4 linked regions of the Struthio camelus genome follow. The protein of the gene in region 1 interacts with the protein of each later gene in a biochemical or structural test. Links are inferred from orthologs where the notes say so. Each region holds a gene or a part of one and is shown in the gene's direction. Other genes may lie near its edges. The genes, in order: GTF2B, NR2F1, GTF2F2 and GTF2E1.

Region 1 (7,976 bases):
TGTGTAAACCAGCTCTTTACTGAATTCTTTATTGAAACAAATTGACTACCAATTCTTAAAATAGAAAACACTGAGACATTTGCTAACTTTTATTCTTTGTTAATTCCTAGTAACACCATTGCTGCAAGTATAACATATGCATGTTTTCTCCCTTAGCTTGGTTGGTCTATTGGCCCCCAGCATCTGATAAAGCATTTGCAAGTTGTTCAGCAAAATACACTGTATACTTGCCCAACTCCATTACAGGTAGGTACAGATAGAGCGGAGGAGGTTATTTACATATAGCACCTGGCATAAACCTGTAGGTATTACCATGATAAAATACTGACCATAGCAATGAATTTTGAGTTGTCAAAATACATACTTTGGGGTACTGGAAGAGGACACAAATTTGATCAAACATTTAGAAAAAAGACCAGAGTCTTGCTTCTTCATTCATCCGTAAACTGCTCCTTCTTGCATGAAACGTGACAATACCAGTGGTTTCCTAGCAAATATAAATAAAGGTTAGTGCAATAAGGTTTTGGGTTGCTGAGAATTGTCTCTATCAACTAGATCACAGTTTATTTACTAGTGCTCTGTGATATATTATTATCAATAATTAAAACTAAACTTAGCTCAATTTAGACTGTAAACTCCTGTGGCAAGGACTGTGACTTCTGTGTATGATTAGTGCCTGGCAAATGGTAGGGTGCTTTGGGTGTTACCACAGCACAAAGTAAGCAAACAAATTAGACGTTTGGATGTAGCTTGTCTAATTTCAATATGCTGATTTTCTTAATGAGAGCCAGATCAAGGCAAAATCCACATGATTTCAGTAGGAAGTGCCTGAGTGTCCATGGGTGTACCGAGTGTACATGAGTACTTTGAACATTGTATTTGCAGGAGGCTTTGGCACAAGCTTTTTGGATAGACTATAAACGCATGGATGACCCAGACTGCTATTTTTACTCACTGTCTCGAGAGCTGGAAGGCAAGCGTGATCGGATGGCTCAGCTACTTCGAGAAGTTGGACTGAAGCCTGTCATTCCAGATGGAGGATACTTTATGATTGTTGATGTTTCTACATTAAGTTAGTAAAAGGTTTAGTAAATGGGGGATGGGAAACAAATATTAAGATGAAAATGCAACTCCCATTTTAAACTATGTTCTCATTTCATTTTCTCATAACATTGTCAGAAGTACTAATTGGGACTGAAATTTTCTGTTTGACCTTAGCCTGGAGGTAAATTTTACAAGCTTCAGCAAAACCTTGCAAAGTTTTTGCAAGGTTTCAGGGATGTGCAAATAGGAAAAGTAAAGGAAACAGTAAAAACATTTCTATTTTTGAAAGGTCTTTGATTATGGAAACATTTGCGAGCCAAGTACCTGGCTTAATATCCTGCGTTTGTACCCATTTTCTATTTTTTTTTTTTTCTCCCCTTAAGCTGCAGTCAAATGCTGAGCTATCTTTAACGCATTCTGATTTTTAAACATTGTCAAATCTCACCAACATTTACAGATCTCTCTGGAAATTCAGGCTATGCTACCTCTGGAGGAAGAATTCCATCAGGGTTGTGGATTTTTGTTGGATATCTTTCACTGACTGGTTTTAATGGCACTTGTCATTCACACAGAAACGTTTAAGCAAAGCTGAGCCTCACAGTCCTACCAGGATGTCGGAAAATTATAGATACCCTAGTTTTACAGATAAGAGAACTGCAGCAGTAGCAGTGATTATTGCTGTCCATGTTGTGCAAAAAGGACACACTTCAGTACTCTCCAGACTCCAGGGCCCTTAGTCATCCAGACTTGATGACTTCTTGGGGGATTGCATCGTTCTCTCCCAAGCTACTTCTCTGATTTTGCTTTGCATGGAAAGCGAGTGCTCAGGTCAGAGTGGAAAGATGTACATCTGTTGGCCTGGTTTAATCTTTATAACTTTTTTTAATTATATTTTATAATAAAAGCATACCTCTTTATTCTTAAGTATTAACTGAAGTGCTGTTAGTGAATGCCTTGCCACTGGAGGCTAGGAAGTCTTACAAGATCTTGTTTGTTCTCTGTTTAATTTTTTTAGATGTAGATCTCTCTGATGTGGAGGAGAATCAACCTTATGATTATAAATTTGTCAAATGGATGATAGCATCTAAGGTAAGGTGTCTTTGTCATACTCTGAAGTTTTAGAAATGCTTGTCTACTGGAAGCAAGAGAAGTGTAACTGTACTTATGCAATAATGGAGTAGAAATACTACGTTCAAAATATTATTTGTTATTTATGCTAACTGCTGGAAATGATGTGACTAAAATATTGCTGAATGTACTGAAAATGTACTCTGTAGGTTTGTGTTAAGTCTCAACTTTTGTTCTTTCTGCACGCTTAAATGCTAGTTGTAGACAAGTACCTTTGAACTGTTTTGCCTAAAAAAAGTGATTTGAACTTAGTTAAGCGTAGCTTTGCGTGCAAGATCCAGCCTAGTATTTCACTTGAATGTTGGGAGGGAGAGTTCTAGGAAATTCGATAGTAAAATCGTCATGTGTGAAACTGGTTTTTCATCTGTGTATAATAAATAATATTTCCGTTTTATGCTTCAGAAACTTTCAGCAATTCCTCTTTCAGCATTCTGTGGTCCTCAGACAAAAGTGCAGTTTGAAAAATACATACGTTTTTGCTTCATTAAGGTAAACTTGTGTCCCAGGAAGATTCAAAAAATAAAAATCAATGAATATAAAAATCTGCAACAGGCTACTTATAACATTTTTTTCACAGGATCTCCTGAGTTTTGTGATTTTAGCAGCAGAAAGTTAGCTTGATGTAAAATTAAACACAAAGTAGCTTCAGCTATCTTTTTGCTGAGGGGCTTTAAGTCCTAAATGCGAGTGGCATGGTTAAGAAGGGCAGGTCGAAGAAAACAGCTGGGTGGGTAAGCTTTTTTTTAGCTTATTCTGTTGATTTTTAAAACATTCTTGGCCAGTGGTGACAATGAGAGTGGATGACACAGATATCTCATGCTATCTATTAAGATGAATTCTATAATCCATGGTAAGGAATAATTCCTTTCTATGGCAGACAGGGATACACCATGTGCAGTCAGTTTCAAACAACAAAACAAATCATTAAATAGGTGAGCTTCAAGTTTAGCTCACTTACCTGAACGTACATACAGTTTTAAATGAGCTCCAAATCACAAAGAAAAACAAAGACATAAAAAGGAATCTTCAGTGTTTTTTAAAGGAGGCAGAATTGACAAATTGTAAACTGGCAGACTCTTGTAATTTTGTGAGCACCTCCTCTTCCCATATTCTTCTTCCTCCTGTTACACCCACTTGCTGGGTCTGTTTTTGAAAATACTGAAAAACGTTGGAGGCAGCTACATAAACTTTGGTAGACATACTTCCCTAAAATCTTAGTCTTACTGTTCTGTCATAGAATCGGCATAATGGCACATATGCCAACCCCTTAACTGTTCCATGTACAGATCAGAGCCTTAGCTTGAACCACTGATGAAAGGGAGTTTCTGCTTGTGTTACTTAGTTCTTAAGATGAGGTATAAAGACTATGATATAAACTGAGCCACTAACAACCAGGATGAAACTTGCTCGTTGTGAACGTGGCTTGCTCAGGATGAAGAACGCTAATTGTGCCAAGGTAAAGGCTACTCGTGTGACTAACCGGCTGTAGCCAAGCCACAGAACTGGCCAGTGGATGGATTACCCATATTTAGAGGGATTATGTTTAAGTAGTTCACAGCATAGCTTGGTTGCATGGAAATTTAAAAATCCTAATTGTAAAGATTAGCAAACTATGACTAGCATGCTTCTAATATAGAGCGGTCAAGAACATTAATGCATAAATGCCAGGCATTTATGTAAAAAGTATCCACTTTCATTAAATTTGATAATGTAAATATTGAGAAAAATATGCTCTATTTTTAGCAAATACACCTGAAAAATATTTGCAGGGTATTAACATTGAATTCTTGGTGTTGTCTAGATTTGTAGCTATAAATGTTAATGGAGAACTGACTGTTTGGGATATTTACATGATGCGAACGAAACTGCCAAATATTGATTTCAGATGTTATAATTATGACTGCTACTCTGTTTTCAAGAACTCTTTACTTACAGTAATAGTAGTACTCCTTGTTTTGCAGAAAGACAGCACACTAGATGCAGCTGAAGTCATCCTGAAGAACTGGAATAAAAAGATAGCTTGATTTTTTTTTTTTTTTTTAATCAACTCTTCTGTCTGGTATAATCTTACACTAGGACTTTTTCTTGCAAATTTAAGAACAAATTACTTAGTACAGAATTAATTTGACATTGTAAATAACTTTGTGCTGCCACCTGCTGAGGAGTTAAAACAATGATTTACTCAATGCGTGTAATGCAATTCAGAGCTTATTTTCAGAGGTCTTTTCAAAATGATTGACCTTTTTCCAAAATAATCTACAGGCTCCACCTCTCTCACTGAAAAACAAAGATTTCTGGTACTCTGAGTAAAATGAATACATCATATAGGTATTTTAAGACTTACAAGGAAAAAATGGGAGGTGTTTTTGGTGTGAAGTCGTATAGAAACTAGGGGTAAGACTTAAAACATTGTGGTTTGTGAGACCTAATAGCCAGCAGTGGAGGAGAATTAAGACGTGCCTCAGATTAGATAATTGCAGTGACTTTCTACCTACCTACCTACCTACTCTGTCCATGCATGAATTGTATCAGTTAAATAAAGTGATTGAGTTAAATCAACGCAGTGTTTATATATAGGCAAGTTCTAAATGTGCTGAGCTGCATAATTAGTATTTTATTTTCCCACATTAGTCAAGTTTACTGTTCTGAAGGCATTCGTTCCCCCCCCCCCCCAAAAAAATTTTAAAAGTGGCATCTAGAATACCTATAATATTTATTAAATAGATGAATCTACAAAGCAGAATAAAACACCTTGCCTTAGAGGCTCCTTCACAATCAAACGTACAGTGACATACGTAATCCTGTAATTCCTTTTCCACTTTTTGCATGTTCACAACAACCGTTAGTAACTTCACACCAAACTTACTTCAGTGCTTATTTTCATGCTTGGGGAAGCATGGAGATGGGCCAAATACTGTACTATGGAGCTCAGCTAACTAGGACTATTTCAAGCTTGATGGATAAGGGAGTGTTTCAGAAGAGATCAATGTGGAGAAATCCTTTCTAGTTGCTTCCTCTTTGAGCTGTGTGACCTTTTCATCTCTGGATGGGTTTCCCACTAGCAGAAGCAATCAAGGTAGGTCGCCTTTTAAGGATGTATGTTGTATTCTGTGTTTTTTCATTCTTCCCACAGGCCTTCTGGGGAAAAGTTGGAACAAATTCAATACCTAGTTTTGCAACTGCCTTGCTCATTCTGTAGTCATATAGCTGGAGTCTAATTGAGTTCTATCAGTCTGTGATCGTGGCCAGGGGCTAAAAAAAGTTGTATGGAAACTGGACTGTGATAGCAGCTGTTACGCCTCTGCTGACTAAACATGTCAGTACCTCTTCTTGCCCTTGGACTTCTGGGAGTCCAGTAGCTGGGACTTGTGTTGTCTGTTTAGCTGTCATACACTGCCATCCCCCAAACCTTAACAGAAAAAGGTTGCTTGGTATTTTTCAGGGGTTTGTAGTCTTTGTGTAAAATATCCATTTGGTAATTAAAATGACTTAACTTAAATTCCAGCAGGAATGTCATAGGGAAATTCTTAAATAAATTCCCATAAATTCCAGGAGGAACTATTGTTATAAAACAGTAAAATTCAGTGAAATCTACACTGTATTTTGCACGACCTTTAAAATCTCTTTGTGTAAAGTGCACCGGGGAGTTGTGCTGTTGCAGGAACTAGAGGACACTGTGTCAGTTCGTTGAGCTGAGTGATAATCTGGGCAAGGGAAATGCTTCTGTTGGTGATATGTAAAACAACTGGTTTATTTGGAAATTACTCCACAAATATTCCATTCCAAAAGCCATTTGGAGTAGAATGTCACACTAAGGCACCTGCCACTTTCATTGCAAAGTGAATTCTCATAAAATAAAAAAATCTTTGCTAACATATGTTCAGATATGATAATATGAATCAAAATTTCCTAATGACTTAGCCTCTTAAATAGTACAAAATAATAAAATATTTGTTATTTAGCTTCCTGTCCTTGAAACAAGTGCCTTGCAATGCAATTCAACATTCAACATATAATTTCAACAAAATTCAACATATAATTTTCATCATCATTTTATATGTCAAAAGGGAGTTTTAAATATCGTTGTACCATGCTTGCCTTGATAACAGCTACAAAGCACAATCCACTTAATATTTTTAAAAATTATTATTTAAAATTATTATTTCTGCAGTTTAAGATTTCCCTGAGATAGCGTGTTAGCATGTGAGCATATGTGTAATTGTGTTATGGGTCCTCACAACAGCAGTGAAGTGATAAAAGTTGCTTCCATTCACCTCTCTCTACAGTGTTTTTGTTGCCTTGTAAAGAAGTATCATTGCTTCCTAAAGACTTGTTTCAACACTGACTACTGTTAATACCATGGCTTGTGTTACTGTTGCATTACTGTCATTGGCAAATGGGACACCCTGTGTAAAGTCGGTCTTTGTATGAATATATGCAAGAAAGAAAAGCTATAGGCAAGGTTGCCAAGGAAATTATAAAAATTATAGCAAAATATACCTGTTTTTCCATTGTTACATTCAGTAACAGTAGCATTTTAAATACCTCATTCTTGCATGCTAATAACTCACGTGCTAAAGCACTGAATCTGACAGGGGAGACACAGGGGGCCCAGGTTTAAAGATAGCTCTGCATAGTGTATAATTCCAGAGCCCTGCTGATGTTACGGGACACACTGTATTAGACTTCACTTAGCTTTGATTTCTTTTTGCCTATTTTGTCCAGCTGCTGTAGTGTGCTAATCCTTTTGTTTCATCAGATGTCTGAATACATAAGATGCAGCACAGAGATGAATTAACATACCAAGCATAATTCAGCTGCCTTGGCTATTTATTGTTTCTTTCATTTGCTCCTTTGAGGCGTTTGACTGACATCTGCTATTTTAACAAAATGAATGTTGGCTAAATCAACAAACCATTACAAAGGATCTTTATACATACGAGTAAGAATTGATGACTTGTTTTCATTAGTGTACTCCTCATTGTGTTCATGAAGACATCTGAATATCCCATTGCATTATATTGTTGGAATGATGCTGGTAATATTCATAATGTGAGAACTGCAATTGAACTATCTATTTATCACTGACAGTAGCCAGCATGAGATATTTTGGATGAAATTGTAAAAAGCTCCAGAATGAGCAATTAAAAAATAAGTTTTAAAGTGGGGTTATTGTTGTAACTGTAGTGATGGGAAAGAACAAGTACAGCTAGGCACAGCAAGGTGAACTTTCTGTAAGTTATTAAAATGATGTGTTGTTGACAGAGACGGTTAATAGTGGTATTCCCATCTGCTACATCAACCACTTTTTGGCTGCTTGTGGACAAAGAACTTGGGAAAAATTGCTACAGACAGAGAATAAAGAAATGGTGAGATATGATCTATCATACTTTTTCCAACAGTGCTGAAAATGATTGTCTTTCTGTGCTGGAAATTAAACCCTTTCACTTCTAGTTAATGAGAACAGCGTCGGAAGGGACCGACTGCTGACAGTGATTGTCAGCAGATGATCTGTTTTATAGAATAGATTATATGAGAAGCCAAGACAAACGTGGAAAGCTTCATGGGACTGACAGTGCTGATGTGGCACATCTGTTGCAGATACTGCTACGCACACATTTCAGAGGTTATAGGGAAACTTCTTAATATAGCAAGCTGTATTCACATTGATAGTAACAATTTTTTTTTATTAGCATTTTATCTTTTGGTTTTATTGAGCCTTGTGAAAAAGGGCATTGCAAATGGAAAAAGAGAAGCTTCATCTTCTAATAGTTCAGCTTCCTTTTATTCCAAAAGCAAAGATT
Region 2 (7,012 bases), on another chromosome or scaffold:
CTCTCTGCCTCTCTCTCCCTCTCTCTCTGTGTCTTGCTCTGCCTCTTTTACTCCCTGTCTCTTCACAGTCTGGGGAGTAAAATCTAGATGATATACATACGGAGCTCGCTTTTTTGTCTGATTTAATCTTATTCGTTTCACCTTCTCACTGACCAAGAGACAGGACCGAGAGTTTATTTGGGAAGAAGGAGAGAGAGGAAAGGAGCCTACTGTTGCATAGTCAATAACATCCTTTTTATCAATGCAATATACAATAGAGACCGCTTGGCCAAGGGGCTCATTGAAAATCTCTTCATTATTTCAGGACAAAATCAAGCGTTTAGTCTGATCTCAGAAATGATGAAGGATTCTCCTTTCCAGCCGGCTCTCAGTCTCAGATTTCAGAGCTGACACAAAAATAAAATTGTGATCATGATACGTCAAAGTTGAGGGCTTTTTTTTTTTAATGAAAGCAACATCTCTTTACAAAAAAAATAACAACAAAACTTTTGTCATATATTTCATCCCCTTTCCCCCTGCAGTTTTTTCCCCCGGCTTCCAATCTGATTATAAACTTTTATGGGAGCTAAGAGGAGGGTAATCTCCCTCATCTCTCTCTCTCTCTCTCTTTTTCTTTGCAGTTTTTTTCTTCTTTATCACAAACAGTCTTCTGACCCAAAGCGAATTTTAAACCTCTCGCAGAAAGGGGGAGGTTTCAGGGAAGGAAGGCTTGTGAGAAAGGAGGCTAGGAGAGGTACGCAACTAGAAAGAAGGGGGTTCTTTTCCCCAGTGCAGTCACTTAAAAAAAAAAGGAAGAAGAAGAAGAAAAAAGAAAAAAAGAAGGGGGGATAAAAAGCCATAAAAAGATTTTGTGGCTTCCTACTGCTTCAGAAAAGGCAGAGGCTTTGTGCGCGGCGGAGGAGGGGGAGCGGGAGCCGGTGGCTGCGGCGGGCGCAGCGGCTCGGCTGGGTGCCTGTCCGCTAGATGGCAGCCGGATCCAGCGATTCCGCTGCGCCACGCCGCCACCGCCGCGCCGGGGCCGCGCCGGGCGGAGCGGGGCGCGCAGCGCGGCGCAGCGCGGCCCCGGCGCGGCGCGGCGCGGCGCAGCACGGCGGAGGGGGCGCCGTGCCCGCCCGCCCGCCCCCCGCTCCCGCCCCTCCGCCGCGCCGCGTCGCGCCGGCCTGCGCGGGCGCGCAACCCCCGCCGCCGGGGACTGCGCTTCACCGGCATCGATCCGCGCAGGCGGCGCGCGCAGAACTTACTTTTGGGCTTTTATTACTCGCCGGCGGGGCTCTCCTGGCGGCCAGCCGCGCTCTGTAAGAGGAGACACGGGCGTGACACGGGGGGGCACGGCGGGCACAGGCATTCGGGTTTGGTCCGGCCGCTTCCCTCCCCCACCTCACCCCCCACCCCCAAAAATGCTTTTCCCCGAGCAAAGACGGGTGTTGATTTCTGATCCCATTTCATGACACTGTGAACCCCACCGGGGCCATGGGCAGTATAATAAAAGGAGGGTGGACATATTCGGTGAGGAATGAGAGCAAGACAGACCAGCAGCAAAAATAGCCCAAAGTGGGACAGGAGTATATGCAGATGTAAATATGTACGTGAATGTGTCTGTGCACACGCACACGCACACGCACATACACATATACCCCTTCCTGCATAAAGCATATTTTCTTCTCCATCATTAAAATCCCTCGCCTGGTTTTTGCAATTGAAAACAGACACAGAAATCCCATTTTAAAATATGAAAAACTTTTCACGGGGAGCCCAAATCGTTCCCTTTTAATTCCCCTCTCCGCCTATCGCAATGCATCCTCCTCTTTTGATGTGTGTGCATGGGTGTGTGAGAGCGAGCGAGCGAGCGAGGGAGACCATAGACGACCCATACTAATCAGGTCTCAAAGTAAATAGCAGCGCAGGGCGATCTCAATGTAAATTGTGCTTGTCAGAAGAATCCCCTCTCCCTCCCTCCCTCCCTCGCTCCCCCTCTCCCTCCCTCACTCCCCCCCCTCTCCTCCCCTCCCTTCCCCATCCCAGTCAGTAGGTAGCAGAGAATTATAAAAAAAAAAAAAAAAAGACCGGGGGGGGGGTAACCAATGGAGTGAAGGAGGCTTGGCTAACCTTAGCCTCCCATTTTCTCTCCCCCCAATTCAGGGCTCTGACCAGTCAGTCGCCTTTGATTATCAGTTGCCAGCAGCCCTTCTCTTGGCTCCTTGACATGAGCTCCATATAAGGCAGCGATCTCCATAGAAACGTGTCAGTTTCAATAGTAGTGTCAAAGTTCACTATATACAGACATTCGCGCAGATCCCCCTTTCGGAAACATTGCTCTGCTAGGCTTCCCGTTTAAACGCATTCATTTTTTGGGTCTCTCTCTCTCTCTCTCTCTCTCTCTCTCTCCCTCTCTCTCTCTCTCTCCCTCTCTCTCTCGCTCTCTCTCCTTTCTTGCATATTCTATTAGTTGTTTTTTTTCCCTTCATCTCCCTCTTCTCCTTCCTTTTCTTCTTTTTTCCACCCTTCCTCCTTGTGTCTTTCGCTTCATTCCTGCAGGAGAAGAGAAGAAGAGAGAGGTGAAACTAAAAAAAAAAAGAAAGAAAGAAAAGGAGAAAAAAAGCAGAAAGAGAGAGAGAGACAGGGGGAAAAAAAGCCCGGAGAGAGAGAGAGAGAACGCGTTCACATCTTAATACCATTATTATTTTGACCGTTCTTGTCTATTTTTTTATTTTGGGGGAGGGTTTTGCTTCTGGCTGATGAGTTTTTACCCGAAATACTTTTTTTAGACAAACAAACAAAAAAAAAGAACCTTTTTTGGGGCGATTTCCACTGATTTTTTTGCAACCAGCATCGTGTGTTCTCACAGAAGAAGAAGGAAGGGACAAGAAAGAGGAAAAGAAGAGGATTTATTTATTCGACCTACTTTGGATCTCTCTTTTTCCTGCGTGTGTCATTATTATTCCCATTCTCTATTTTTACACTTCGCCGTGAATTCGTCTCCTCTGCGAATTTAGTCACATCCGATATTTTTTTTTGTATTTTTTTCTTTAAAAAAAAAAAAGGCAAGAGAGACAGAGAGCGAGAGAGAGAGAGAGAGCGCGAGAGAAAGAGAAGCGACCGGCAACCTCCTCCACCACCACCGCCACCAACACAAAATCAAACTGTCTCATCTCCCAGCCCGCCTCGACCGCGCTCCCCGGCACTGCCGCCCTGAATGGCTGACGGCGCCCTGCCCTGGACCTGGCCCCCGGACACCTCCATGCCCTGATCGCCGGCAGCCGGCTCCTCTCCGTGCCTCCAGCGCCCGCCTCGCCAGCCCGGCGCCCCGAGAGCCCGCAGCGGCGGCGGCGGCGGCAGCGGCGGCGGCGGCGGCGGCGGCGGCGGGAGCCTCCGCGGCAGCAGCGGCGGCGGCGGCCGGGCCCCGGCGGCGAGCGGCGGCGAGCGGCGGCCCCGACCTCCTCCTCTTCCTCCTCCTCCTCCTCCGCGCTCCGGCTTCCTCTATGTCTGCACATCCTCTGCACTCCTAGCGCTCGGACCGCGTGTGCGTGTGCGTGTGTGTGTGTGTGTGTGCGCGCCGCGCGGGTGTGTGTGTGTGTGTGTGTGTCCGGTGTGTTACTCTCCTGAATGCCTCTCCCGACAGCCTTATTTGCCGTTTCTGATTTTGCAACTTGAAGTGGTGGTGGTGGGGGGGGGAGGGAAAGAAGAAGAGGAGAGAGCGAGAGCGAGACGGGGGGAAATAGCCAGACGGGGGTATTTTAAGAGGGGGGGGAGCGCGAAAAAAGCCCTCCATCTCCCCCTCCCCCTCCCTAAAAAAATTAGCCAGCGAGCGAGCGAGAGGAGGGGGGCTCGCGGAAAAAATAAATAAAATAAAGAAAACGGCAGGAGCGGCCCCGGCAGGCAGCGGCGGCGGCACAAGGGCAGCGGCGGCGGCGGCGGCGGCGGCGGCGGCAGCCGAGGCGGCGGCAGGCGGCAGGCACGGTCCCCTCGCTCCCCGCTCGCCCCCGGCGCCCGGCCGCCCGCCTCCCCCCCGCCCCCCGCCTCTCTCCCCGGCAGCCCGCAGCGAGAAGCGCCGCTCCCCAGCACTTTTTTGGGCCCGAGATATGGCAATGGTAGTTAGCAGCTGGCGAGATCCGCAGGAAGACGTGGCCGGGGGCACCCCGAGCGGCCCCAACCCCGCAGCGCAGCCGGCCCGGGAGCAGCCGCCCCAGCAGCAAGGGGGCTCGGCCGCCCCGCACACCCCGCAGACCCCCAGCCAGCCGGGACCCCCCTCCACGCCGGGCACGGCCGGGGACAAGGGCCCGGGCCAGCAGGGCTCGGGCCAGAGCCAGCAGCACATCGAGTGCGTGGTGTGCGGGGACAAATCCAGCGGCAAGCACTACGGCCAGTTCACCTGCGAGGGCTGCAAAAGTTTCTTCAAGAGGAGCGTCCGCAGGAACTTAACTTACACATGCCGTGCCAACAGGAACTGTCCCATCGACCAGCACCACCGCAACCAGTGCCAGTACTGCCGCCTCAAGAAGTGCCTCAAAGTGGGCATGAGGCGGGAAGGTGAATATTTCTTCCCTACTATACTATCGCTCTCTCTCCCTATGGCTATATGTGTGTGTGTGTGTGTGTGTGTGTGTATGTGCGAGTGTGTGAGAGTGAGTGTGTGAGTGTGTGTGTGTGTGTGTATACGTACACACACACAAGCACATATATATACATATATATATACACACACACACACACACACATATATATATTTTTACAGCTCTCCGTGGCGATCTAGGTCTCTCTCTGTATTTACATGCACATGTCAATCTCTCCCTGTGCCTGCACTCCATCTGGCAGCTTTGCACCAGGTTTTGTTGTTATTGTTGATGGTGGTTGGTGGTGTTTTCTTTTGCTTTTTGGTTTGTGCCTCCTGCCCTCCTCCTGCTCCTCCCCACCCCCTTCCCCAGCACCGCCACACTCTTCCCTTCCCTGCTCATTGTGCTGAGAATTTATTATTATGATCGCTCACTAAATATTTATCATTTAGCCGCTATCTCCGTGTGTGTGTGTGTGTGTGTGTGTGTGTGTGTGGATGTGGTTTTGTCTATTGTTGGCATGAGACTGGGGGGGGAGGTGGGGGGAGATGCATCTCTGTACGAGATGTGCTCCCATTCAGCTTCCTTCCCCCCCTCCCGCCCCATCATTTCTCTTTAAACCCACAACACTTCTCGGTAGATCCATTCCCAGCCTCATCTTTCCCGAAAGAAAGATGAAAGACGTGTAAGTAGGAAAGAAAAAAAAAGAGGGGGAAATGTGCTACTGTATCTCTGCTTCCCTGTGCTTCCCAGTGCCCTGGAGTGTGCTTCTGTGTGAGATTTGGCCTTGTTTTCACTCCATGCGTTCAAAGGAAAGTTTGTGACTGAACCGGGTTTCTGTACTTCTGTCATTTTTTTAGCACGCTGCTCATTTTATTTCTTCATCAAACTCCACCCTCTCCTTAAAGCCTGCATACAAATTGCGATTTATAACCTATTTACCGATCCTTCTCATTTTAGCAGAATTCATAGTCCGCATCTGGCAGTGGGCTCCTCACCATTTCCAAGTGCTCCTTTATTTATTTATTTTTCTTCTCCTTTCTAAGAGTTGCTGCGGTTTTCCTCGCATTAAGGCTTATTTTCGCGTAGGAAGATTTCCTGCCCTCTTTTCTCCTCGAAAAGTATTTCTCGGTTTACAGTTAAAGTTTATCCTGTGACTATCGTTAAAGATATCTTAGAGTCACAGCGACCTAGTCGATTTTGCGGAGTGGGGATTACTACTGCCTTAATTGGTTTTAAAATTATATTTTATATGCCACAAGAAAAGAAATGGAGTTGCTCCAGATCTGAAAGAGCTCACAAATATGACGACTTCATTGGTAGCTTCAGGGGTTGTTGGTAGGCGTCTGGAAAAAAAAAACCACCACCAACAAACTTAGAATTGTGCTTGCAGTTAATTGAAAAATAACTGCCAAGTTTAAAAGCAGATTCAAGAGGCAGAGGTGGGCTGGAGGGCAGAAAGAGGAAGGTGCAGCCCGCGAGACGTGGAGGGCTCGGTGGGGAACATACGTGCTCTGCTACGCTGGAATAAAAGAGAAAGTTGAGAAAATGTGGCATGCTGGAAAGATGAATTATCTGTGTGCCTGTGTGTGTGTGTGTGTGTGTATGCATGTGTGTACGTGTGTGTGTGTGTGTGTGTGTATATAGAAATAAGCCTGAGTAGCCGTATCTTCTCCTTAAGTTACCTTTGTTTACATGGCATGTGGTTTAAAACGCTGGCACTGATGAAGTGAAACACACACACACACACACATACACACACACACACACACACACACACACACACACACACACACACTAAAAAAAACTTTGGTCAGCTTTCGGGACTCGAGGCATGCTTACGCTCTGTGTGGAGATGGTTAATGAATCCAGTGTTTTTGCAGTTGCAAGCTTGTGCATTCACTGTGCAACGCTGACTGCAGGCTTTTGCAGTGGCAACAGCGCACCAAAGATATTAATTACACCGTCCCCTTTTTTTTCCACGAATGTTTGGCTATTGTAAGTTCGGACCTTTTTGTTTTATTTTCCCCCTTCCCTTGACAATATTTAATCTTTCTCTTCCTTTTAGCAGGGCGAACTTTGCTGGGCGGGGGAGGGGGGTCCTGTATGGAAAGCTTGTTCTGTGTAATAAAGTTAGCAGTGGGAAGCTGGGGGGCTGTGACCTGGTCTAGTTTTAAGGGTAATGATGTGATATTTTTGAAGAATATGGACGCATTTATTTTTTATGATTTGAAAAAGGAAAGAAAAGCAACGCAGCAGTTCACTTGTAAATCTCAGTGCTACCAGGGCAATCGGCTGGAATACACAACAGAGCTTGGCTATATTTTTAACAGCTGGCTGTGATTTTTAACCCCACTTTCTTACCACCCGGAGGATTTCTTTGATTTTATTTTTTTATGTGCGGGGTTGCCTTTTGTTGCGAGAGGGGAGGGGGCCGGGGGGCGGATTTGTCTTGTTTGCCT
Region 3 (7,776 bases), on another chromosome or scaffold:
CCGTGGGAGTAGGGCTAGCTTGGCCACATGTCTGAAGTGCAAGGTCTTAGAACAAGAAGGCAGCTGTAGCTGTCAAGGCGGGAAGGGTCTTTCTAGTGCTTAACTTAATTTCACAAGATGGTATCCAGGAGCCTCCGTCCCTCTGCTCCTCACATGGCCCCTCATGCCAGAAACACACCTTGCTAACTTATCCTCCATGGGGAAGGTGATAAAGCTCAAAGGGTCTGCAAACTCGCTGGCAGCAGAGTGGTGAAATGAAGCCAGGAAGGGCTGGGGCTCCATTTTTGTGTCTCTCAAAGGAAGGGTCTTCTCCTCTGTTGCCATGCACCAGAGTACCAAAATGCTGTCGTTCTTGTTAAAATTCCATGCACGCACTCTGCCTCGTTTATAAGCTGAAATACAAGTTGACACGCACCTGCTTAATATAATTCAGCACTTGCAGTTTTGTGTTATTACAGCTGATTTGTTTGATCAGGCATATGAAAACTGCTTGTCATCTGCTGTTTTACCTGATGGAGAAGGTTTGGGGACATCTGCATAAAGAACTTTATGGATCTCTGTGCTGTATGAGCTCATAGCACACTAATTACCATATGCTCCACTTTATTTCCTTTTGTGCACAGCCTGCCTTGCTTCCCCAGGGAGTTCTCTACACCAAGAAAAATGCAGAGGAATGTAGTCTTCATCAGCATCTCCCATATTTATGAACTGTCATCATCCCATGACTTCTTCATGTCAGGTGGAGAACAAGAACTATGTTGAAGCATCTCGCAACTAATATCACGAGCAAGGAGCTGGCTTCAGCTCCAGGCCTAACTGGAGGTCAAGAGCCAGATCGCACTCAGTGTCTCTTGCCCAAGCCTGATGCTGTCAGCCCCCACAGCTGGCCGTACCAACCAAGGAGATCATCTGAAGCTGGCAACAGGGACGTGGAGCTCTTGAGTCAAGAGCAGCTGAAGGAGACCGAGGCCACATGTCCCCTCAAGGCTGACATACCCCTCGCTTGCCACATTTCTTGTGGTGCTGTCCAAGAACATCTCCTTCACCAGCTTCTCTGCTGTCTTGTTCTTTCCTACAGGGCCTCTAGACAGGCACTGCTCAGAAAGGAACATCTGTTGGCCAGAAATTCTATTTATTGAAATCTGGTTTCACTGGCAGGGAGAGGCTGCTTGTAAGCCAGGCAGCAGGTGTGTTGCATGAAGCCCTGCTGTGCTGGTACCATCCTTCGGACAAGCCGGGCAGCATTTGCCCGCATATCCAGGTCTCTGTCCTTCCCGCAGGAGCCAGTGAGTCAGGGAATGGTGACAGTATGCATGCGACTGACATCCCCAGCAGGCACCCAGAGAGTGGCCACCAAACGCACATGGACCTGGGAGCTACAGATAACGCCTAGGTGTCACGGCAAAAATCAGGTTTCCCCCACAAAAGACATGGCCTGGTGGTTATAGCACTCTTGTGCAATTCCCTTTCCCACTAGGTCTTTTTTTTAATCTCTGGACACTCCGTCCTATTCCTGAGAAGCACTTTCAGCTAAAACTGTCTGGCGGTGTCCTCGTCTGACAGCTTGGGTGGGACCAGCGCCCGCTCCAGGGAGCATCTGCCCTGCTCTGGGCTTCAAGGGAAGCACATGCACAAAAATGACAAAACTCCCATCGACCTCAACAGGACAATATCAGGCCTTTCATGCCTCTGTTTTTTTTTTTTTTTTTTTTTTTTTTGTGGTGCTTTTAAATCAGAGCTGGCAGTTTGCAGCTATTGGGCAGTTCCTAAAACTGTTTAAGAGAAACTGTCTGCACCTGCTGACTGCGTTGCAGCCTCTTGGTCTCACCTCCTTGAGTGAATAAAGGAGAGAGGAAGGCTCTGCAAGGCTAAATCTTGCCATCTATGTCCTCCAACCTCACACCTCCTTCCATGCCAACAAGACCAAAACTGGTGACTGACACGCAGTTCCACCTCTCGGCAACTGGCCCCCGGATCCTCAGCCACAGCGCTAAACATCTCAGTGGCAAACATGAGGTTCCGATTTCAGATGAGGAACTAATGAAAACCCTCCTTTCCTTCTTGTTGTCCCTTTAAATTTAGTTTCCAAGGAAACAGGTCTGGCAAGGCTGCCTGGAGGGAGTAGCAGAGAAGGAAATCTCTGCCTCGCTGCTCTCCGCTCCGGTTTGCCAGCTGAGCCACTGAAATTGCCAGGCTTTTAGGGATGTTTTCTCTATTGTGATTTATGCCTTGGATAAGACTGCTGATTTCTCATAGAACAACTTCTCTAGCAAGTCACGAACTGGTTAGTTACGTTGCCTTTATGTGCAATTGCGCCCCTGGTAAGCTGCATTCCTCTTCTTTCATTGCCGGTCTTCCGGTGTGAAGGTGACGTGCGCTGAACCAACCAGCCGTGACACTGCGTTATTGGAAATGTCACTTGTGCTGGAAAAATTCACTCCACCTCTTTTTTTCTTTTTTTTCAAGTGGTGGCAAGTGTGCCCTGAGCATGCAGATTGAGCTAAAACTCGGAGCAGAGGGATAACTTTGTCGTTAATGCACTGTTTATCCTAGGGACAAATCGCATCAGGTCCAATTCTGCCATGTGCTGAGTGCCTCATTTCTGCTAGATCCATCATCGAGTTGTTTTGTGGCAGGGTAGGGAATGGCACATAGGCTGAAGGCTGGCATGAGAGGACGTGGATGGGGCATGCAGAAACCTCTTTAATTACCTAGATGTTTGCCTATAATTAGAAAGCAAGACTATCATACCCAAGACGTAATACTGAGACTGTTTTCTGCAAGCCACATGAGATAGATCTTGCGTGTCGTACCATAACTATTCTCTACTTGATGCTGGTGTACTCTCAGACAGAGTATGAGCTTTGTTACTGTGCACCACACTTCAAGAAAGATGTAAACTAGTACTGGAGAAAATTCAGAAAGCAATGGGAACGACTGGAGGTCTAGAAAATATGACCTAGGAGACCAAATGGAATGAATTAGGTTTGTTCAGTGCAGCGGGGAGAAACCACAGGGACACATAGCAGTAAAGGGCAACTGCAAAGAGAAAGGTAATAAAATGCTTTCCACACACGCAGTGAGCAGAACAAGAAATTATGAGCTTAAACTGCAACAAGGGAAAATTAGTTTAGAGATTTGGAAAACTTCCCTAATGATAGGAACAGAATCATAAAATAGGGCTAAAAGGGATATACAGAGACTATCTAAGTCCATTAGCCTTGTCTCGAAGCAGAGCCAGCTGCACTGGGCAGATGCTTTTTTTACCCTGACTTAAGACATTTTCACAGGGTATGAGACTCCATTCCCTGCTCAGGCAACCTATTCCAATGCTTTGCTGCTCACTGAAGTAAGTGTCCTTTTGCAGAAGTCTAGGCCTAATACTCCACTTTTTATCCACAGCAGATATGGCGAACAAACTTCCCTCTTCCCTTTTCATCTGTCCTTTTTCCATATGTGAAGGTTATTAACATGTTCTTCCCCCCCTTTTCCCCCGCCACCGTTAGGCTGCGGTGTCCTATTATGAAGCATCTGGTCTCAACCCAGGCTTAAGCTACCGATGCCTTTTTCCTCTTGCCCGGCCCTGTCCCATCAGTTGTGCCAATGCACGGTATGCATCGCAAAACCCCAGAAAGGGAAGCAAGTGGTAGCCAGGGGAGTTGGACAGGACCTCCTCCATCTGCATAGGATGAGAGAATAGTCACAAAAATGATCATTTTGAATGCTAACGCTGCTCTCCACCCTGCTGCGATAACCCCTCCCCGGCCTCATGTTATCTACAGGTCTAATAAGCATCCTCCAGTGTATCATTTCATCATTCAAGTCAAAAATGAAATTGCCCAACAAAGTTAGACCGAGGATAGCACCACACATATATTGTTTCTTTTTGATAGTCATCTATTAATAACTTCTCCCGCTGCACGGTCTTTCCGAGTAGCTTTTCATCAATCGATAGCAGCTTCATCTAGACCGATTTCTCCAGATAGCTTCTCAAAATGTCACAGGGTTTAATATCAGAAGTCTGACTTTGGTGGAGACGTTCGACATCTGTCACTTCACCCCGTCACGGAAGGAAATCAGACTGGTATGACATGTTGCTCTTCACCAGTCCATCTTAACCGCTTCTCGTCTCTGTTTTCTTCTAGGTCCTTTCAAATAATTTCTCTCATTATTTGAGAGATCTAATATTTTTCCAGAAACCGAAGCCACGTGTGCAGGTCTGTGACCGTCCCTTCCCCCTGTTTTAAAGCCCGGGGCTGCGCTTGCCCGCCCACCCACCCTCCTGGGCGACTGCAATTGCTCTCGATGGCAGATTTCATGAGCCAGGACCACCTTCGGTGGGACAGGACGATCTGAAACCACGCAGCTTTATCTCAGCTTAGTACCTTATTTTTTAATTACCGCAACTGCTAACGGGGTTGCTGTCCTGTTCCAGGTAACCTGCTGCAGTTTTTAAGCAGTTCAGCTTTGTCAGAGGCATGTTCAGACAGTTTTATTCCTCGGCTCATGGGAGAGCCACCAGCTTCCTCGGTCACGTTTGTACCACAAACGCGGGGAATCATTTTCCTTCGCTCTGACCATCACTTCTTGTCCCTCGTTTGCCCACTTCCTTTACGGCCTTGGCCTTTCCCGTTTTGCCCCCCCTCCCCGCGACATTTTCACACTCGGCCTAGGAGCCCCCCCGCACGGCCGCCGGCCCGGGGACTCGAACCCGCGGCTCCGCCAAGCGCGGAGCCGGAGTCCCGCCCCCCTCTGCGCTTGACGCCACGCCGGGCGGAGGAAGTTGGTCCGCCGCGAGCCACCGTCTGCGCGCGGCGCGGTGCGGTTCCCATCTGCGTCCGGCGGGGGACGGTGGCCCCGCAGCGCGGGAGCAGGAAGGCGCCTCCCCGCTCGTTCCGCGCGCGCACCCGTTTCCCTTCCCGTCGCTGCCCGGCGCCGCTCCGGTCGGCGGGGACTGCCCGGGCCGCCGCCGCCATGAGCGAGAAGGGCGAGCTGGACCTGACCGGGGCCAAGCAGAACACCGGCATGTGGCTGGTGAAGGTGAGAGGCCGCCGGCGCACCCCCGGCCCCGCGCGGCCTGTGGCGGCCGGGCCCTGCCCTGCCCTCCCCGGCCGGGCCGGGCCGGGCGGCAGCGGGGCCTCGGGCCCGCGGCGGGGGTTGAGGGGTCCCGGGGAAGCGGCGGGAGCGAGCCGGGGCGCCGCGCGGGCGCTGCGTGTTTGGGGCTCGGCCGCCTCGTTGGGGAGAGGGTTGGGGTGGCGGGGACTCAGCAAGAGAGCGCTTCCCAGGTGGGTGCTGAGGTGAATTAAGGAAAAGCAGGTGACCTAAGAACTGCCTTTTAGTTTTATTAAGGATCATAAGTAAGGTGCTCTAACTTTTATTTTCCCTCAGATCTATGAAATTGAGAACTTCCAAGTTTATATCCTGGCTAAAAACCAAAGGGAACTTTTCTGTGTTCTTTATGTTGCTCCTGTCACTACAGCCCACCTTTGAGGAGAGAAGCTTTAGCAGAGTCAGTGGGAAAGGGAAGAGAGCGCTGGCGTAAAGATCATCGAATCAAAACAAGCACCTTTTGAGCAGCAGGGCCAGTTTTGTGTGTGCTGACACTAAGTAGGCCATCACTTCCTAGGCATCAGCCTTATTTTCTGGAAGGTCCATCTGTCTAAATCACTTGACTGTTTTTGCCGACAGCAAGCTAGCATTGGCTCAGGAAAGAGGAGGCTCGCTAGCCACTGGGGGAGTATGTGCCCTGGCCTCCTTCTGGTCCTTTGTAGGGGTACCCCCATTTTTCTGGACCAGCATTTGGGAAGAAATGGTAACATCCTTCTCTTCTGCCTTTGGGGACCACTTGAGCAGGCCCAGAACAGCATGAGAGAACCCATGGAGACAGGGGAGGACCAAAATATTGGTTCTGGGTGGTGGGAAGGGTGTGACAGCATCTTTCTTCAACTACCAAAACCTGTTATTGTGGCTCTTGAAAAAATAGTGGGGAATTTCAGAAGTCCTGCAATGCAAAGCAAGTGTGGTGGTGGTGGTGCATCTGGTAGGTCAGTGCATCTGGCTTCCTCTTTCATAGTGATACCTGAATGTCTGGTTTTGTGAAACTCTGCACCCAGAACAATAAAAATGAAAACTGATAGCAGAAAGCTGCAGAAGTATATCATGATCGAGAGTGGCTGGTTGATGAAAGGGCAGATGAAATTTAAAGCTGAAAAAAGTAAAATGATATGCATAGAGAAAAATTATTTTAATTATTATACTTGCACAGTGGCTGGGTTTCATCTGCTTATTGTCATTCAGAAAGGAGATCTTGGGTTTACAATAGATAAAGATAGTTCTGCGACTGTCATGTCAGTGGCAGTCAAATAAGCAAATTCAACATTGGGCATTATTAGGAAAGAAAGACAACAAAACAGAACATATTATTTTAGCCTTATATAGCATGAATACAGTATACGGTTCCGTTCTTATCCTCCGCATTGTGAAAAATATATGGTAGAACTAGAAAAGGTACAGAGGAGGGCAACAAGAATGATCAGAGACACGAGGAATCGTGCCTCTGCAAAGACCTCCTAAATATGCTAATCCAGGCTGGAAAGATGAGGGATCTGGAAGTCTGATAGAGGTCTATAAAGTCAGGAGTTGCAAGGAGAAGGTGAATAGAGAAGAATCAATCTTAACACAAGAATTAGGAATGTGTCAAATTAGGGATGCATTAGGTGGGGGTTCAACGCAAGCATTTTTGCACAATACATAATTAAGTTTGGGAACTTGTTGCAGTAGGGTGCGTGAACATCAAAACTTTGCACAGGCTCAGAAAACCATTAGGCCGACTTATGCAAGAAAAGGGTACTGAGATATTAAAAGTGGAGATGTTCCCATTCCTCAAGAAGTGCTGAGGCAAAACCCGCAGAAATTGGAAGAGCGTAGTGGGGAAATACCTGTTCTTCTCTTGTTTTCCTGCTCTTCCTGAAGTGTCTGCTGTTGGCCACGTTGGAGACAGGGTACTGAACTTGATTATCTATTAGTCTGGCATGGGTTAGTCATTTTTGAAGCGAGCCAGGAGTTTTCAGGCATGTCTGTGCTTATAGGGGATATCGTTCTGTGAGCACAGGATGCTGCCTAGTTTAATGAGAAAGCTGGGCTAGCAAGAACCCTTAAATATTTATTGTTCTTCCAAGTTGATGTCTAATATTCTTTCAACATAACCATGCATGCACATGGTCTGAATTTACAATTTGGCTGTCTTCTGGCATATTTAAAAAAAAAAGAAATTCCAAAGTCAATACCGTTGGTAGACCATAGGAAGGTGCATGCAGGTTTTTGTCCTTTGGATTCCTCTGGATCTAAACTTGGAAGCAACGGTACTTTTTCTCTTCACTAGTTAGGATAACTAGGCTGAATTTATCCTTGCTTTGAGGGAGAAAGCAATAACATCTACTCCAAAAAAAAAAGCTTATTTAATTTCCTTTTAGCCTGTATTATGCTAGCCCAGGAAGTACTCCAGAGAGACTACTTAACAGACAATAAAAAACCATAGTGATGAGTAGTTTGGGAGCATGAGCAGTACGAGGAAGTACAAGAGATAGGGTGAGTCTCTTTTGTACAAAACTAGAAAGCAACTTGAATAGTTTTTTTTCTGTATTTTCAGGGAAAACTAGGGTAGGGAAATATTATCAGAATTCTTAGTTATACACGTGTGTGTAAAGTAAAGCCTACTTAACATTAGCCACACTCTGAACTGTTAATTTCTTATTCTTATGTTTTCTTCTGATTTAA
Region 4 (7,756 bases), on another chromosome or scaffold:
TAGCCCTCTCTAATTTCCTATGGATTTCAAGTAGCTTAGGGAAGACCGAATACTTCTAAAACAGCCTAGAATCATTGTGTCATAGAGCACAAGTATGCTTTTCACTCACCCGTTTGTCACTAGAACTCCCGTTGGAGCGACATCTCTGTTGAGTGCTTCCAAAGACCAGCGATACAGATTCTGGGATGACTTCTTGTTGGTTAAATCATGCACTAAAATTATCCCTAAAGTAAAAGAGCAGGCAGCAAGATGCTATTTCATGATATACAGTTTTTCCTTTTCCTATCAAAATGGCACCTGCAGGTTCCCAGACGTCTGGGAACTAAGACAGGGAAAGATAACTCGTTGAACTACAGGGAATGAGTTAAGGTGAAAATACGAAAATGCAGCAGTTTTTTAAAGCTCCTTCTCAGGAGTTGGATAAGAAGAAAAACCCAGGAAAGGAGGAACAGAACATCCATCTTAGGTTTTAATTTGCAACAGGCTGGCAGGCATTCCCCAATTCTGTTCTAATCCTCTAATAATGTAATCCTAATGATACTGAAACTCTGTATTAACACAGCAGAGAATTCAGCCTTTCACTGTTCTACCTAGCTGGTAAACACACAACTCTTTTCTTGTCACACAATCTAAGAAACAGAAAGGCTGTTTTGGGGCTGGGTGGGTTCTGAAGGGTTTACAGAGCACTATTACCTTCCCACAGTTTCAAGAACTAATGCCATGCACTTGTGGAGGTATCCAAAGGGGAAATAGGCTCTGATGAACTTTCACAGTCCACCAAACGCTTGGTAAGAACACGCGCTAATACGATTCCATGTAGTCAAGAAAAAGCTTCTAGCATTTTTCATTACCGTGAGCCTTCAAAATGTAAATCCTGAGATAGGAAAATTGCCAGCCAAACTTTCTAGCTGTGCTGTTAACAGACACCCACTTCTGATAACCAGAGTTCCTAACTCAATTATCAACTCCTGCTAGCAAATATCTTCTATTTATTCACACCTTCTGCCACCTGTGGAATGCTCCCACTTTCTCCAGACTTTAAACCATCACTTATTCAAGGATAAGATGCAATTATACCTCTCATCGCTATCGGGATTTGTTCTCAATACACATTTCACAGCCCACAGGTGTACAAAATTTATTTCATTTAATCTTTCATCGGTTACCTCCCAAAGATGCCACCCACTGTAAACACTAAGAGCAAACCACATAGCCGCATTCTCCACTACCCCACACTACTTTGCACAGAGACTCCTATGAGAACTCTACAAGAAAACGAGCACCTCCCCCAACATGTCACAACAGTATCACTCTTTCAAAGCCTTTATCTCAGTACTAGCAGAAAAAGAGCAACTTGACCTTGCGTCCACCCCCCAGTACAGAGAGAGAAAGCCTGATGCAAAAAAAATTGGCTTATGGCAACAGATTCAGAGGCACTGCTGCATAACTTGCAAGAAAATTCCTCCTCTTTCAGGCATCCTTGACCTAAATAACGACCTCTCTCCCCTATTTACACTTTTCGTTGGTCAGTTTCCTTACTTGCCTCGCTCAAAACTACACAAGTAGTTGGACCGGCGGAAAAGACTGTGTCAACATCAATAAAGAGCAGACAAGACCAAGGACTATTGTTCCTGCTACATAAATGTCTGAAAACCACAGCCTTGCTACCTGTTCACTGTCTCGGACTATCACCGTGCACAAAACAGATGCAGGCTCATGAAAGCTGATGATCTGTGGCCATACCAAAAGTGAATGATACCTCACCTCCTCAGCAACCAAGTCTCCCTGACAGTCTGCACAGATGCTGCTATAACCAAACATTAACTGTCTTTTGATCTCAGACTTCTCAGATCACTGCAAGCCCAGAAAGGACAAGCAGTCAGGCAGAAGTAATGCGCTCCTCTTCTCGCATCAGGTCAAAGAGAGGCAATTTGTGAGACAAGCTCTAATGAAGAAATGTATCTAATGAAAGAAACTAGAGCCAAGGCTAACTACCAGAGACTACAATTTTCATATGTGAACTGGCTAATGTCTTTCGGGCAGTGGTAATAAAGCAACCCAATTTTCATAATTCCATCAATTAGAAGTCAGATACAAAAGTTCAAAACTTCATCTCCTCATGTGCTGCTCTAGGATATTTCCAAGTCTGACCAACACGAACTGTAATATTGTGGATTTGGTGCCAAAAAGAAATCCACTTCTTCTATACACCAAAGCAGCTTGCTTTAAGGCCTCTGCTTTGAGGGCACAATTCAGCTCAGCCTTACTTAGAGGGGTCTTGTTGTATAATGTAAGCAAAAGGCACCTACGCACAATTTTTCTCCTGGGAAAGGGGAAATAATCATAATTATGAAGGGCCCTCAGATGATGATGACCAAGAAATGAGAATCGAAATAGAACATCCGGGACTAAGTTTTCTGAAGTAGTCATTAACCTAGCATACTCTTATTTTCAGTGAACTGTCCTTGCATGTCAAATAGATAGTACCTGTTAGTATCTAGATAGTATCTAATGAGATACTGCATTTTAAATACTATATTCATAATATCTTATACGCTACTTCTGTGTTCCAGATGAACTACTAGACCTACAGGTCACTATTTCAAAAGAAGGGATGCCATATTTTCCAAGGCATAAAATCTATCTTTCTATTAACAGCAAGTTGCAAGAATTAATTACTAAAAATCACTTGCCAAATTAAGCGAACAGAGGGCAAGACGGTCATCAGATTCTTGCAATGTTATGGGAGATCTGTTCAAACTTGCCAGGGTGGGACATAACCATCAAAGTTCATGTACGTGCTTTATGGGCAGTAAACTTTTCCTTGGTTTAGATTTTGGAACCAAACAGACAAGGAAAACATAAATTAAGTCTCTGAATTAGACCTGGAAAGGTGAAACCAGCTCTCACATCTACAAGGATAGCTGGAAGGGACACCACTGCAACTTCAAACATCCCCTGTCGTGCCCGTTGCACAAGGCTGGGATAGTGACACAAAGTAAAATGCTGGATGAAGCTCATTTGCACAGGCTTGCCTGAAATAGTTTTCCAGTTCAAAACTGAGTCCATAAAATTCTGCTGAAGAATGGTATCACTCGTTCCTGTATAAATGTACTGGAATGAGTACAGAGAACAACACAGCCCTCAGCCAGACTCAAGGAATCCTGCTCCAAAGCCAAGAGACAGCTTACAGCAGAAAGTGACAAAAACAGATTTACTCCAAGCAAACTTACCATTCAGCAAGTTATAAAATACTGCTCGTGTGCTTTTCACGCTAGTGGCACTGCCCACTGAACCGCCAACATCCCACAGCTCAATATAGTAGGTCTTCTCTTCTGGAGTCCCTTCTTTGTAGTCATGAATCTGATGGAAAATTCAGACCATACGTAATCACAGCATTACCTTGCAGGAGTTAATCCACACAACACTTAAACATTCAGCTGCAATGACTACTGCATTTGGACAGAAATTCGTAAATTCTAACACTGACATCATTTGAAATCTCTCAAGTAGAAGAGGACTGACTGGATTGAGTCAGGCAACGACCACGGCGGTCACTGCAGTTCCTACAAGAGATGAAGCTTGGTGAGTCAGCAGGGAACATTCTTTCCTCCTAAACACTAGCAAACCTAATGACTCATGGAGTGCTTGGACACAATGTGCTGCTAAAGCAGGTGAAAAGATGAGGTTGTGATTTCTCGCAGTTGTTAAAAATCACATGACAATACTGCATAATTAAGAATATTAGCATGGCTGACTACACCAGATTTAGACTGACCACATCTTTTTACTCCTAAATTCTCATCGACATGTCAAGTGAATTAATCAAATAGCAATTTTCCTCCCAGGATTTGCTGCGTAGTTTTGCTCCACAGTCAAATACAACTGCAACATTTCTTTCCCAAAATTTTGGGAATATAATTTGGCATTCTTTGAGATAAAACTCCTAGACAATAGGACAGGATCATTCCTAAGCTACCGCAAAGCATTTTAGGGAGAATGTTGCATACAAGGAAGGAAGGAAGCATTTATCACTATCCCAAAAGGACTGCAGGTAGGCCAAAAACTACCAGATGAGTAAACTCACAGTCCCCCGATACTAGGCGCCGTGATGAGTAGACTGCAACAGAAGCAATCCCATGGTCATGCTAGAAATCCTCAAATCAAACAAACAGCCAATTCTGTTCTCCAATGTTTGGCTGACAATTTAATTGTGCACTGACTGTTTCTCAGGGAAGCGTAGTGCAAGTTCTGTATCCTCTGATTTAAATGGGCTGCTCATCAACTTATAACACTTCAGTGGTCACTGCGATAAGGAGGCTCTATGAATGACAAGAATCTTTGCTTCTTTAGTTAGCAATCTTGTAAAGTCACAATTTGCTCACACAAGTGCTCTGCACATATTTGATACTTTTTCTTCTAACAGTTTTCAACTTTACAAAACACTGAAACACACCTCTTTCTGTGGGGCAAAGTAATGAAAACAACAAATTAACTAAAGACTGGAATCAAATTCCAAAAATCTAAGAATCTTGCTTTCAAGCTTATTTAAGTTCAAGCTCATTTACATCCCTTAGAAGAATGAAAGTCTGAATCAGCCCAGCTGAGAGTTGAGCTTGTAACAAAAAGCCCACAACACTGGGAAACAAGGTCGATTTCCTCTTTCGCATTTTAAATTATGTGTACTTAAAAAAAAAAAAAAAAAAACGCCTGGAATATCACCTACTCGAACATCCACCGAGCAGCCCACTGTCCAAGATGGATTCCCCAACACCTGGTTTTGGCATAAGAGGTGAACTAGTGAAGACTTCCCAACACCTGCAAACGCATGTAGAGAACAACACCCGATCAGTGGACGTGTCTGGGATAAAAACAGCTAAAAAGGCGGCGAGATAACCGACAGAAGCCCTCAACGAACCACCGCGTTTGTGCAACGCGCGGCCAGGGCACCGCCGTCAGTCCCTCCTGACTCGAAGGCGAGTCCGAGGCCGCCGCGCCAGGCGCCCGTTAACGGCCAACGGTCAGTGCCCAACGGCCGCGGCACAGAGCCGGGGCGAGGGGGGGCAAACGGAGGAGCAAAGCGCCGAAGCTCGGCTGGCACCGCTCGTCTCCGGAGACGCAGGCGGGCCGGGAGAAGGGCCGCGGGCGGGTGGAGCGAGGCCGGTTTCTCGTCAGGGCGAGGCGGCGGCGCTGGGCGGGAGGGCGGCGGGAAGCAGCGGCCGCGCCCCCCGGCACCGGGGAAGGGGGGCCCCCTCCCCCTGGGAAGGAGCCTGGGGGGGAGGGGGAGTGTAACTGTCCCGTCCCCCCGCCCTCGCTGTGCGCGCGCGTACTGTGCGGGAGGGGGAGGGACACTCACCGGAGTCGCCTAGCACCAGCACCTTGACCCGGTCCAAAGCTGCCATCTTACTCTACCTAGCAACAGCCCCTGAGCGTCCCGCCCTCTCCCGACGCCCCCAATCATAACTCACACTGCCCTCATTTTTCTCAGCCCATTGGCTGCTTACCCGAGCGACTAGGACGCCCTGGAGCTCTGTGATTGGCTCTTTCCCTTGTCGCTCAGCGGGCTTAGTACCGGTTTCTGCCCCGGCCACGGGCAGCACGTCGTAGTGCGCATGCGCCCCGCGGGCAGCGCCGTTGGGCAGGGGCCTGGCGCCTTGTGACGTCACAGGCGTGCGCGCGGTTGTGACGCGCCCTCGCGCAGTCACCGGAAGCGCCGCCCGGAGAGGGGAGAGCTCGGAGCGGCGGCGGCAGGTCAGTGCCGGCCCCGGCCCCGGCCCCGGCCGACAGCGGGCCGCCCTCGCCCCGTCCCCGGTGCCCGCCCGCGGCTCCCCGGAGCGGGTGGCGGTCCCGGGCGAGGGCTCACGCGGCGGCGCACCGGGGAGTGGCCGGGCGGCGGGGGCGAGCCCGCCTCGCTCCCCCTCCCCCCGCTCCGGGGTCCCCCCTCCCCCCCGCCTGTTTTAGGTGCCGTTGGTGGGGTTGGTGCACGCCGGTGCCGCCCGCGGGGCTCCGTGCTGCTCCCCAGCGCCCTCGGCCCCAAACCGGCGGCTGCCTCTTTTCTTGTATTCCCCTCCCCCCCCCGCCCTTTATGAGATACTGTTGAGCCCCTCGAGTCTCCGGTCGTAGAGGAACCTACAGAGCCGGCCGTTTAAAAACTCAACACGCAGAAGTGTGTAGAGGGTAGGAAGCTGGGCATATAGTATAAGGGCTTCTCTGGTTAGCATGGGTGTAAAAGCTTAGGCCAATGCTAAGGCCTAGTATACTTTAGGAAGTCTGTGTGACTTGTAATTTGAGGGGAGCTGCTGGATTATAGACTCCAAGGAGTAATTAGCACTGCAAGAGGCCTGGGGTGCAGTGAAATGAGATGGATGTATTGAGACAACAGCCTGCTACTGTTAAAGGGGATATCTTTAACCTCATCCCCCTGTGTCAAGTGTGACCATTGTCTGAGCCCCCACAATGAAGCCGTTCAGCTCTCTAGGCCTGCAAGGTTTTCTTACTTTGGTCTTCTCTTGGCTTAGCAAGGTTGATGGTTCCCTGAAGGGCAGGTGAGCATCTCACAACAGGAGTGAGCTGTTAAGTAGGTTCATTTAATGGTATCATTTCAAGTGGCTCAGGATACGTGAGGAAAGTGTGTCTTATGAAAGAAGTGTTCAGCATTGCCCAGTTAAGATACAATTCCATGAAATACAGGTAACTTAAGATTTTTTTTCCACCTCTGAAAGGTGGAGTTGCCTCTCATTTCTTCCCCTGCAGTGGCATTCTCTTGCATCTGCTGTTTCTGTTGCTTATCAGACCTTTCCATTAGCTGATTCAACTGATTACAATGTCAGAGAACAAATCTAGTTTAAAAAAAATTTTCTTCTGCTATGGTAGTTGGTTAATTTGGAGCGCAGAAGGGTCTTGTGAGTGTCAGAACTGGTGCAAGAGAATGGGCAGAGCCATGTGCTTGAGAGTGTACCAGTTCCCTTCCAGCAGCAGCAAGGGCTGATGGGAGTTTCAGTCCTACCCTCCATCTCCTTTCAGATACTATTTACAGCACGCTCTCACACAGGATGCCTAAGGCTCTTCTAATGGAGAAATTATATGAAATTAAAGCTAATCAGATATTCTCTAATTCCTTAATTTTCTATTTCTTTATCGCTTACATCCCCAGTAGGTACATTAGAGTTATTAGCTTGCTATATCCTGATGAGCTAAGTCTTTTCCAAACACGTTCCTTAATTGTTTGTGTTACTTTTTTCCTGAATTCCTTAAAGTCAGACACTTTCTTTCTGGGCGTATAGTCTTTGGTACCAAGCATGATGTGCCAGTTCTCATTGAACCCAGGATGCTAAGAAGGATTATTGCTTCCTTCCCCTGAGAAACTTCAAGAGGGATGGTGGGTTAAGTCAACTATACTGAAATCATGACTTAGGCTTGATATGTTTGAGAATACCTTTATCTTTTTCCCTTCAAAAAAAAAAAAAGGAAGGGGGGGGGAGGAAAAAAAAGCCCACCTAAAGAACCCTAGCACTTTGCTATGTGCAGACCAATGCTGAGAAGTCTCCAAAATAGTGGTTGTGCTTCCCCTGGTATGTACTTAAATGGCATTGTGAATTGTATGGGTTTCTGATATCCTGATATCCACTGTTAAAATATTCTAGGGCTTCACAGTACAGCTAAGTCAATTTAACACCTCTGTCACCACACGGAGAAAGCTCACTCTTCCACATCCCTAGCTGTCCTACAGCTGTGAACTGTTTGTTAATGGTGTGTG

Evidence for each region.
Region 2: the proteins of GTF2B (region 1) and NR2F1 form a complex in vitro, tested with the Homo sapiens proteins (2 studies listed by BioGRID and IntAct). The link is inferred for Struthio camelus from reciprocal best matches to the Homo sapiens genes GTF2B and NR2F1.
Region 3: the proteins of GTF2B (region 1) and GTF2F2 form a complex in vitro, tested with the Homo sapiens proteins (2 studies listed by BioGRID and IntAct). The link is inferred for Struthio camelus from reciprocal best matches to the Homo sapiens genes GTF2B and GTF2F2.
Region 4: the proteins of GTF2B (region 1) and GTF2E1 form a complex in vitro, tested with the Homo sapiens proteins (2 studies listed by BioGRID). The link is inferred for Struthio camelus from reciprocal best matches to the Homo sapiens genes GTF2B and GTF2E1.

What each region holds. Positions count from the first base shown.
Region 1 is NC_090949.1:19,992,621-20,000,596, forward strand, and holds the start of GTF2B (transcription initiation factor IIB), read left to right. Parts: upstream 1-4,960; 5' UTR 4,961-5,218; coding exon of another isoform or gene 5,219-5,248; intron 5,249-6,931; 5' UTR 6,932-7,066; coding exon 7,067-7,114; intron 7,115-7,437; coding exon 7,438-7,541; intron 7,542-7,976. Other genes in the region: KYAT3 (kynurenine--oxoglutarate transaminase 3), read left to right, coding at 157-246, 886-1,072, 2,060-2,133, 2,575-2,661, 4,134-4,196. UniProt on the Homo sapiens protein: General transcription factor that plays a role in transcription initiation by RNA polymerase II (Pol II). Involved in the pre-initiation complex (PIC) formation and Pol II recruitment at promoter DNA.
Region 2 is NC_090982.1:54,170,500-54,177,511, reverse strand, and holds the start of NR2F1 (COUP transcription factor 1), read left to right. Parts: upstream 1-4,000; 5' UTR 4,001-4,079; coding exon 4,080-4,527; intron 4,528-7,012. UniProt on the Homo sapiens protein: Coup (chicken ovalbumin upstream promoter) transcription factor binds to the ovalbumin promoter and, in conjunction with another protein (S300-II) stimulates initiation of transcription. Binds to both direct repeats and palindromes of the 5'-AGGTCA-3' motif.
Region 3 is NC_090942.1:190,907,457-190,915,232, forward strand, and holds the start of GTF2F2 (general transcription factor IIF subunit 2), read left to right. Parts: upstream 1-4,772; 5' UTR 4,773-4,974; coding exon 4,975-5,040; intron 5,041-7,776. UniProt on the Homo sapiens protein: TFIIF is a general transcription initiation factor that binds to RNA polymerase II and helps to recruit it to the initiation complex in collaboration with TFIIB.
Region 4 is NC_090942.1:92,867,733-92,875,488, reverse strand, and holds the start of GTF2E1 (general transcription factor IIE subunit 1), read left to right. Parts: upstream 1-4,818; 5' UTR 4,819-5,020; intron 5,021-5,356; coding exon of another isoform or gene 5,357-5,402; exon of another isoform or gene 5,403-5,477; intron 5,478-5,640; exon of another isoform or gene 5,641-5,751; intron 5,752-7,756. Other genes in the region: RABL3 (rab-like protein 3), read right to left, coding at 110-224, 3,234-3,363, 4,727-4,818, 5,357-5,402.